2 linked regions of the Mus musculus genome follow. The protein of the gene in region 1 purifies or fractionates together with the protein of each later gene. This does not show direct contact. Links are inferred from orthologs where the notes say so. Each region holds a gene or a part of one and is shown on either strand. Other genes may lie near its edges.

Evidence for each region. The genes of interacting proteins can lie anywhere in the genome.
Region 2: the proteins of Sgk2 (region 1) and Fkbp5 purify together in Homo sapiens (affinity purification with mass spectrometry; 3 studies listed by BioGRID and IntAct, with this or other methods). This does not show direct contact. The link is inferred for Mus musculus from reciprocal best matches to the Homo sapiens genes SGK2 and FKBP5.

The regions. Positions count from the first base shown.
Region 1 is NC_000068.7:162,993,943-162,997,488, reverse strand, and holds part of Sgk2 (serine/threonine-protein kinase Sgk2), read right to left. Parts: intron 3,025-3,546; coding exon 2,967-3,024; intron 2,820-2,966; coding exon 2,736-2,819; intron 1,803-2,735; coding exon 1,671-1,802; intron 1-1,670. UniProt on the Homo sapiens protein: Serine/threonine-protein kinase which is involved in the regulation of a wide variety of ion channels, membrane transporters, cell growth, survival and proliferation.
Region 2 is NC_000083.6:28,483,349-28,487,576, forward strand, and holds the start of Fkbp5 (peptidyl-prolyl cis-trans isomerase FKBP5), read right to left. Parts: upstream 2,802-4,228; 5' UTR 2,604-2,801; intron 1-2,603. UniProt on the Homo sapiens protein: Immunophilin protein with PPIase and co-chaperone activities. Component of unligated steroid receptors heterocomplexes through interaction with heat-shock protein 90 (HSP90).

The sequences.
Region 1 (3,546 bases):
TCAGAGTTGGCAGAGCTGGAACTTGAAACCAGGTCGTTCAAGACATACTTTGGTGGTGGTGGTAGGGCAGGGGGTAGACTTTATATAACCCAGACTGGCCTTGAACTCACGGTCCTTCTACCTCTGTATCCCACGTGTTGGGATTACAGGTGTGAGGCGCCATGCCCAGCAACATTGTGGTTTTCCTCCCACCCAAACGTTAGGACGTCACACAGCCCAGCTTGGATCTCCCTGTTTGGTCTGCTTTGTGAGTTGCAAAGCCATCATTTAGGGATGTGCAGAATAAAGCCTCGCCTGCTGGACTCAGGCTGAAAAACACTTGGTTACAGGTGAAATCTGGTGCAGCGGAGGAGGGAGACAAAGCAAAGCCCAAGTCTGTGTCCAGCTTGCCCTGCCCTGTCTTGGGGTTAGCAGGTGGCTCAGGTCTCTACTTAGGCAGTGACATCAGGATAGAGAGATGGCTCGGTGGTTAACGTGCTTGCCATGCAAGTATGAGGACCTGTGATGGTGTGTATGTGCTCGGCCCAGGGAGTGGCACAATTAGAAGGTGTGGCTCTGTTGGAATAGGTGTGGCCCTGTTGGAGTAGGTGTGGCCCTATTGGAGTAGGTGTGTCACTGTGGGTGTGGGCTTTAAGATCTTCATCCTAGCTGCCTGGAAGCCAGTATTCTGCTAGCAGCCTTCAGATGAAGATGCAGAGCTCTCAGCTCCTCCTGCACCATGCCTGCCTGGATGCTGCCATGCTCCCACCTAAGCCAGCCCCAATTAAATGTTGTTCTTATAAGAGTTGCGTTAGTCATGGTGTCTGTTCACAGCAGTAAAATGCTAACTAAGACAGGACCCAAGTCCAGATCCCCAGAGACCAATTTAAATGCCTTGTGGCCACGGCTGCCCATTTGTAATTCCATCCTCAATAAGATGGAGACCGAGGAACATCAGAGCAAGCTGGCTAGCAAGACTAGCTACAATGTCAAGCTCTGGGTTTGCTTAAGGGATAGACCCTGACTTAATGAAAAAGGTGAAAGAGAACCTGGGGGTGACTTTTAACATCAATCTCTGGCCTCCATTAACAAGTGCACACACACTCGCATGTTTGCCCCACACATAAAAATGTGTGCGTGCAATACACATACATGAAAAAAAGATTTTTTCTTTTTACTTTTTCTTTTTTTTCCCCCGTTGGATTTTCAAGACAGGCTCTCTCTGTGTAGCCTTGGCTATCCTGGAACTCACTCTGTAGGCCAGACTGGCCCCAAACTCACAGAAATCCACCTGCCTCTGCCTGCCTCCCAAGTGCTAGGATTAAAAGCATGCACCACTACTGCCCAGGTAAGATTTTTTTAAAAAAATGATAGTGATGGGTTATCTCTTACCCTGTGGCCTGGGTGTGGGAAATAGCAGTATTGGAAATAATGACCACACATTTCTCTCTGGCAGTGACCTTTCCTGGAGTCTATGAGAGTGAAGCTGGGCCACCTTTCGTGGGAAAGGCAGGAAAGTATAGCGGGGGGGGGAGAAGAGGACCCACTTGCTATAGACTGGGTTATCTTGGGAAGCGACTTACTCGGCTGAGCCTCTGTACTTGGGATACCAAGTGGGTCTGCGATAGGGATGCGGCAGGGGTACACAGCGAGTATGCACAAGGCCAGCTCCCCTCCCATGGTCCACTCACCTCTCCCCCGTTGACATAGTCAAGCACAAAGTAGAGTTTCTCTGGGGTCTGGAAGGAGTAGCGCAGGCCCACGAGGAAAGGATGCCGCACGTTCTTCAACAGCACGTTGCGCTCTGCCATGATGTGGTTCTGCTGTGGAATCACAGACCAGGGTCCATGTCACAGTTCGGGACATTCCAGGTGACCTTGCTTCTGGAGGTGTCCTGCCTACCACTTTCTCCTTGCCTTGGTTCAGATGCCCACGTGGGCTCTCGATTGTCCCCAGCCTCCTTGTCTCGTACTTAGAAGTCAGTGTCTTGAGCCTCAGCCCCAGCCACTTTCAGACTAGTGTAAATCCAGAATCCCCTAACCTGGGGTGACAAGCAAAGCATATACTACTGCGAGACTCGAGACTCATGACTTTGATCCTGCCATTTTACCCATCTGAAAAGCCCCGCCTCCCTCCCTCCCTCCTCCCTCCTCTGTGTTTGTGTGTGTTTGTGTCATGTGTAATAAGTGGATGACAGATGCCTCTCTTAGCCCCTCTCCTCTATATTCTTTGAGACAGGGTATCACTGGACCTATCTCTGCAGTACTAGGATTAGAGAGACATGCTACCATGCTTAGCCTATTTTATGTGGGTTCTGGGGGATCAAACTCAGGTCCTCCTGCTTGTTCAGAGAGCACTTTATTGCCTCAGCCATCTCCCTAGCCCCTGGTTATGCCACCTTTATTTCTCAAACTAACAGAGTGCTATTTACTGTCAGGATCCATTCAAGACCATTCATGCAGGAAGACCTCCCTTCCAAGCTGGCCAGGCCGAAGGGGCCTTTGAAAAGGGCGTGGTGTGAGCCCACAGTGCGCACTTGGGAGCCTGCTACCTGGAGAGGGCAGAGAGCTCAGAGGGTTCTGCATCCTCCATGGGTTCCTAGGGAGATGGCTTAGCTTGCCTTCCTCTAGGAAGGTTAGGGTCTGGTGTGCCCCTGGACTTTCTGAGCTGCTCCCTATAGACCTCTGGGAGCTGGGACCGTCTTGGGAAGCCTCCTAGAAGCAGGAAGGGAAGTGAGCTTTCCTGAGCTCTGGTACCTCTTTGTTCTTTAAAATGGATTTCTTCTGCAGCACCTTCACGGCGTAGAAGGCTCCGTCCGACTTGCGCTTGGCCAGTAGGACCTGCAAAAAGTAAAGGCACAAGACTTCAGGGATGATGGCATTCCCCTGGCAGCCCCCACACCCATTCTGCAGGTGTGTGAGCCTTCACTGACAGCAGGTGGAAGGCTGCAGAGGGAGAGATCTCAGGCTCCCGAGGTCCTTACTTACCTTCCCGTAGTTCCCTTTGCCAATGACTTTGAGGAAATCAAAGTCTGTGGGCCGGGCACTGTGGACAGGAGAAGAGCAAAGATTAGCCTCTGGACGCTCAGGAAGCCCGGACTCTGGTTAACTTCAGACATGGAAAAAGCAGGTGGCTTGGCAGGAGCCTCATGGCCTGGCCAGTGAAGAACGCGTCTCAAAACCCAAAGTAACTTAAAAGACTCAGCCTTACACACCTCTCCCTACACCCACCCAGCTCCCAGTCCTGTTAATACCAGGAGAGGCAAATCAGGTACATGGTGCAGAAGGCAGTCTGCCCATCCCCACCCCCATCCCACCCCCATCCACAGTAGGAGAAGGGTCTGGAGAGTTGCTGACAGTGCAGATGTTTGGGGTCATTCCAGGCAGGAGGCTCAACCTAGGTCAAAGCAGGGGAGTTAATGAGAGATGAAGCTGAGTGGCCGTAGGGAAGAGGGATGCTGGGCCAGCTGGCAAAGGTTTTGAGCACATCAGGGACCTTAGATTTCATTTCTAACGAGAACCTGCCATAGGATAGCCAGGGAGGAATTTTGTCTTCAAAACCAAAACT
Region 2 (4,228 bases), on another chromosome or scaffold:
AAACTGAATCCCCTGTAGGAACTAACAACACAATACACATTCTTTTCCAATCCAAAAGTAAAGAAAATTCTCAAAATTAACTAACAACTCATCCCAAATTCTAGGCTTTTCATGTTTAAGTGATTTAAACTGTCTTTAAAAAGAAATGCTGGCTGGTGATATTGCTCAGCAGATAAAAGAACCTGCCAATAAACTAAGCCACCTGAATTTCAAGTCCAGGACTTACACAGGGCAAGAAGAAAACAAAACTCCAAAGTTGTCCTCTGACAACCACACCAGTGCCAAGTACTCTCACAAATGACAGATCGATCTATCACAGACGATAGATAGATGGATATAAAAACTAAAAAGTAAATAGAGAAACATCCTTTTGTGAAATGTTGGAATGACAAAAGCCCCCACTGATGAACTTTTGTTTTAAAACAACTTGCAGAAAATATTCCTAAATTAATTTTAAATGATCTCAAGTGGCTGGACAGTGGTGGCGCGTGCTTTTAATCCCAAGCACCGGGAGGCAGAGGCAGTTGGATCTCTGAGTTCGGAGGCCAGCCTGGTCTACAGAGTTCCATGACAGCCAGAGCTACACAGAGAAACCCTGTCTCAAAATCAATCAATCAATCAATCAATCTCAAGTGGTCCCAACTCATAGCTAGCTCAAACTAGCTAGATGAATAAAATGATTGTTCAATCAATTAGTGTAATTAAATAAAAACGAACTGTGCTCTGAAGTTCAACATTTCTGAAGTATAGATTACACCCAAGGCAGTTACCACACAAGACATATCAGAAGACAAAGGGGAAGAAAGCTAAAAACACTCAGTGCTGCTAACAAACCAGTGTCATTATTAACCTTTGCATTTAAAAATAGGTAAACCGGGCGTGGTGGGGCCCGCCTTTAATCCCAGCACTTGGGAGGCAGAGGCAGGCGGATTTCTGAGTTCGAGGCCAGCCTGGTCTAGTTCCAGAACAGCCAGGGCTACACAGAAAAACCCTGTCTCGAAAAATAAATAAATAAATAAATAAATAAATAAATATAGTTAAAATACACCATTTCTGTAGCACTCCAAAGCGAAAGCTGTGTGGAGAGTATTAGGTTACAGAAATTTATACGTGCTTTAATTGAATAGTAAACTCCCAATAACAAAGGAATAAAACTTTGATGTTTCAACTATCAAACAAAAAAAAAATACCCCCCCCAAAAAGTCAGGCAAATGAGGATCAGCTGGGAGAGTAACAGAAAACGGTTAAGTAAGATTTTTTTCCAAGTCATTTCTTGAATTGATTCAGACACCAAGAGGAAAAGCTATAATTTTTAACAACATATAAAGCTAACAGCAAGAAGTGGGGAGGAAAAGACAAAATGCTTAACCCAAACACACCTTAACTTTTCCCTTGTCCACAGCCCTAAGAAAATGGGATGACAATAGAAATAAACACTCTCTCCTTCCCCTAAAGGAAGCAAAGAAAGTGCCTATTCAACGCCCTGGTCCGCTGGAAAACACACTCCTGAAAGAAGAAGAAGGGAAAAAAAAAAAAAAAAAAATCCCCAAACCACCAGCTCCCAACTGCCGCATGCAGAATTTACTGAATGGCGGCCAAGCGCTGTACACCCTGTCCCGAGCCCCGCCGAGGGCTGTCCCAAGTTCTGCACGCTCTGCTTACGATCTGTACCTTCCAACGCTTTCGCCATGGCTGCAGACACCAATTATTTAAAAAATGAGGCGCAAGCGCTCCACCTGGCTCATCCACAGACGAAGATGAGGAGGAGGAAGATGGTCATAATGCAACGTGCTCCCTTAGATTCATCCCACACACACACACAAAATGCTGGGTTTGGAGTCAAGGACTATGGCCGGAACAGGAGTGGTGATGCCGCTGGGGCGAAGGGAATGAAGATTCCTAAAATAACTTTTATTTCCTTAGTATTATTGAGAGCGGGGGTGAGAGATGAGAATGTGTATCGGAGCCAGTGGTGTTTGTGCTGTGTACACAGGGAGGTCAGAGGACAACTCGCGGTTGGAGTCGGTTCCCCTACTACCATGTCGGTTCCCGGGATCGAACCCAGGTCGTCACGCTTGGCTGCAAGCGGCTGTACCCGCTCAGCCACCTCCGAGACAACTTTTAATTAGCCCTTCCTCCTCAGTACCTCCGAGACCCTCCGGTCACCTGCCTGCCCGGTGCGAGCCGGCTCGGGAGCGGCAGGTGAGGGCGGTGCCCGGCCGGCACGCCCATCGCGCGGCCCCGCGGACGCGGCGGAGCACTCCGTTATCCGCGGGGCTTGCAGGGCTCCGGAAGGCCAAGTTTCCTCCGCGTCCGGAGGGCGGCGTGGCGGAGCGACACGGGGCTCCCCGGACCTGTGGGCTGCGCGGGAAACAAAAGCCGCGCGCGGGCGAGCGAGCCGCCGCCGCCGCGCTGAGGGAGACGCTGGAGAAGAGCGCCGGCCGCTCCACCTCCCACGCGGGGCCCAGGCCTCCCGCGCGTCCCGTCCACGCCATCCCGGGGAAGCCGCGCGAGGGGCGGCAGAAGCGGGACCGCGAGCACGGGGCTGGCTCCGGGGTCCGCCGCGTGCGCGCGCCCCATTCCCGCGGCCATGGCGCCCGTACCTGTCGCCGCGTCCGCCGCCGCCGCGTCCCTCGCTCCGCGTCTCTCCGCCGCCGCGCGCGCCGCTCAGCCCGCCCAGCAGGCCGCCGCTCCGTCCGCACGCTCGGTCGCTCAGCCGCGCGCCGGACACCGCCGCCGGAGACTGGCAGCGCCCGCAAGCCGGCTAGTGCGCCGGGCAGCGCCCGCCGTCGTCCCGCCCCCGCCGGCCGCAGGACCCACCTCCCATAGGGCCACGGGGCTGCCAATCCGCCCCCAAAAGGCGCGCGGGCTGTCGCTCCGCCCGTCCCGATTGGTGGCCGTGCACTGCCTATGCAAATGAGGCTCCGCCCCGTTCGTTTGCATCTCCGCCTCTTCACCGCTGCCCACGTGTCTGGCCCTTGCCCTTTGTGGGGGCCGGAGAAGAGGGATGGAGGAAGCTGACTGACACCTCGCCTCGTCGTCCACTGCCTCCAGACTAAATACTGACCAGACAAGCGTCTGCCTTGCCTGTCTGTCCACCCAGCCTGCCCTTCACGAGCTGCAGAGGTCGGGCCATGCTGACCCCGGAAAATAACCTCCTGAACTTGAAGATGCTCCTTAGAGACTGGGAAAATGCGATGTAGCACCTAGCACCTCTCTCTCTGGACACCCAGTGGGCGTGAAGATGTCGCTTTCCCTTGAGGTTTCTGCCTCTCCAACACAGCAAGCAGCCCAGGTGATGAGGTCAAAAAGGAACCCAAAGGATGGCTGTTGAGCTAGGTCAGCTTCGAGATGGCACCCCCTCGCCACGTCTGGGTGACTCCTATAGACGCTCAGGAGCTGCACCTGGGGACTTGAACTCTAACTGTTCGGTTTTTAAGAAGATTCTTAGAAGAACGTTTATGATGAGTGTTTCGCCTGCTGGGTGTGTGTGTGTGTGTGTGTGTGTGTGTGTGTGTGTGTGTGTGTGTGTTTACTATGTGAGTGCAGTACCCAACAGAGGTCAGAAGAGGGCATCGAATCCCCTGTCACTGGAGTTGGAAGCATCCTGTGCTCTCCCAGCCTCTGGGAGAACAACCAGTGAGAGCAACTGCTCATAACAGCTAGGGAATCTCTCCAGACCCCCGGTTGGTTGGTTGGTTTGTTTGTTTGTTTGTTTGTTTTTTGAGGGGAGGAGAAACTATAAAAGTCCCAATTACCTATGGAATATTTTGTAGCCACAGGAAAATTCCATGTTTCCTGGTTCCATGTCTGCTTTTATTTTAGTTTTGGTTTTTTGTTTTGTTTTTTAAGATTTATTTATTTATTATTATATCTAAGTACACTGTAGCTATCTTCAGACACACCAGAAGAGGGCATCAGATCTCATTACAGATGGTTGTGAGCCACCATGTGTTTGCTGGGATTTGAACTCAGGACCTCTGGAAAAGCAGTCAGTGCTCTTACCCGCTGAGCCTTCTCTCCAGCCCCTAGTTTTGGTTTCTTTTGTCTTGTCTCACTTTAGAACTTATGAAGATACATGTCACCTTGTATGGTGATATATATCAATGTCCATATAACACATATGATATATATCAATGTCTATCACCCACATGGTGGTATGGTCATTCCTTCCCTATCCTCAAAGACCTCTACAGAAAAGATAAAACTGATATAAAAGATACCCCAC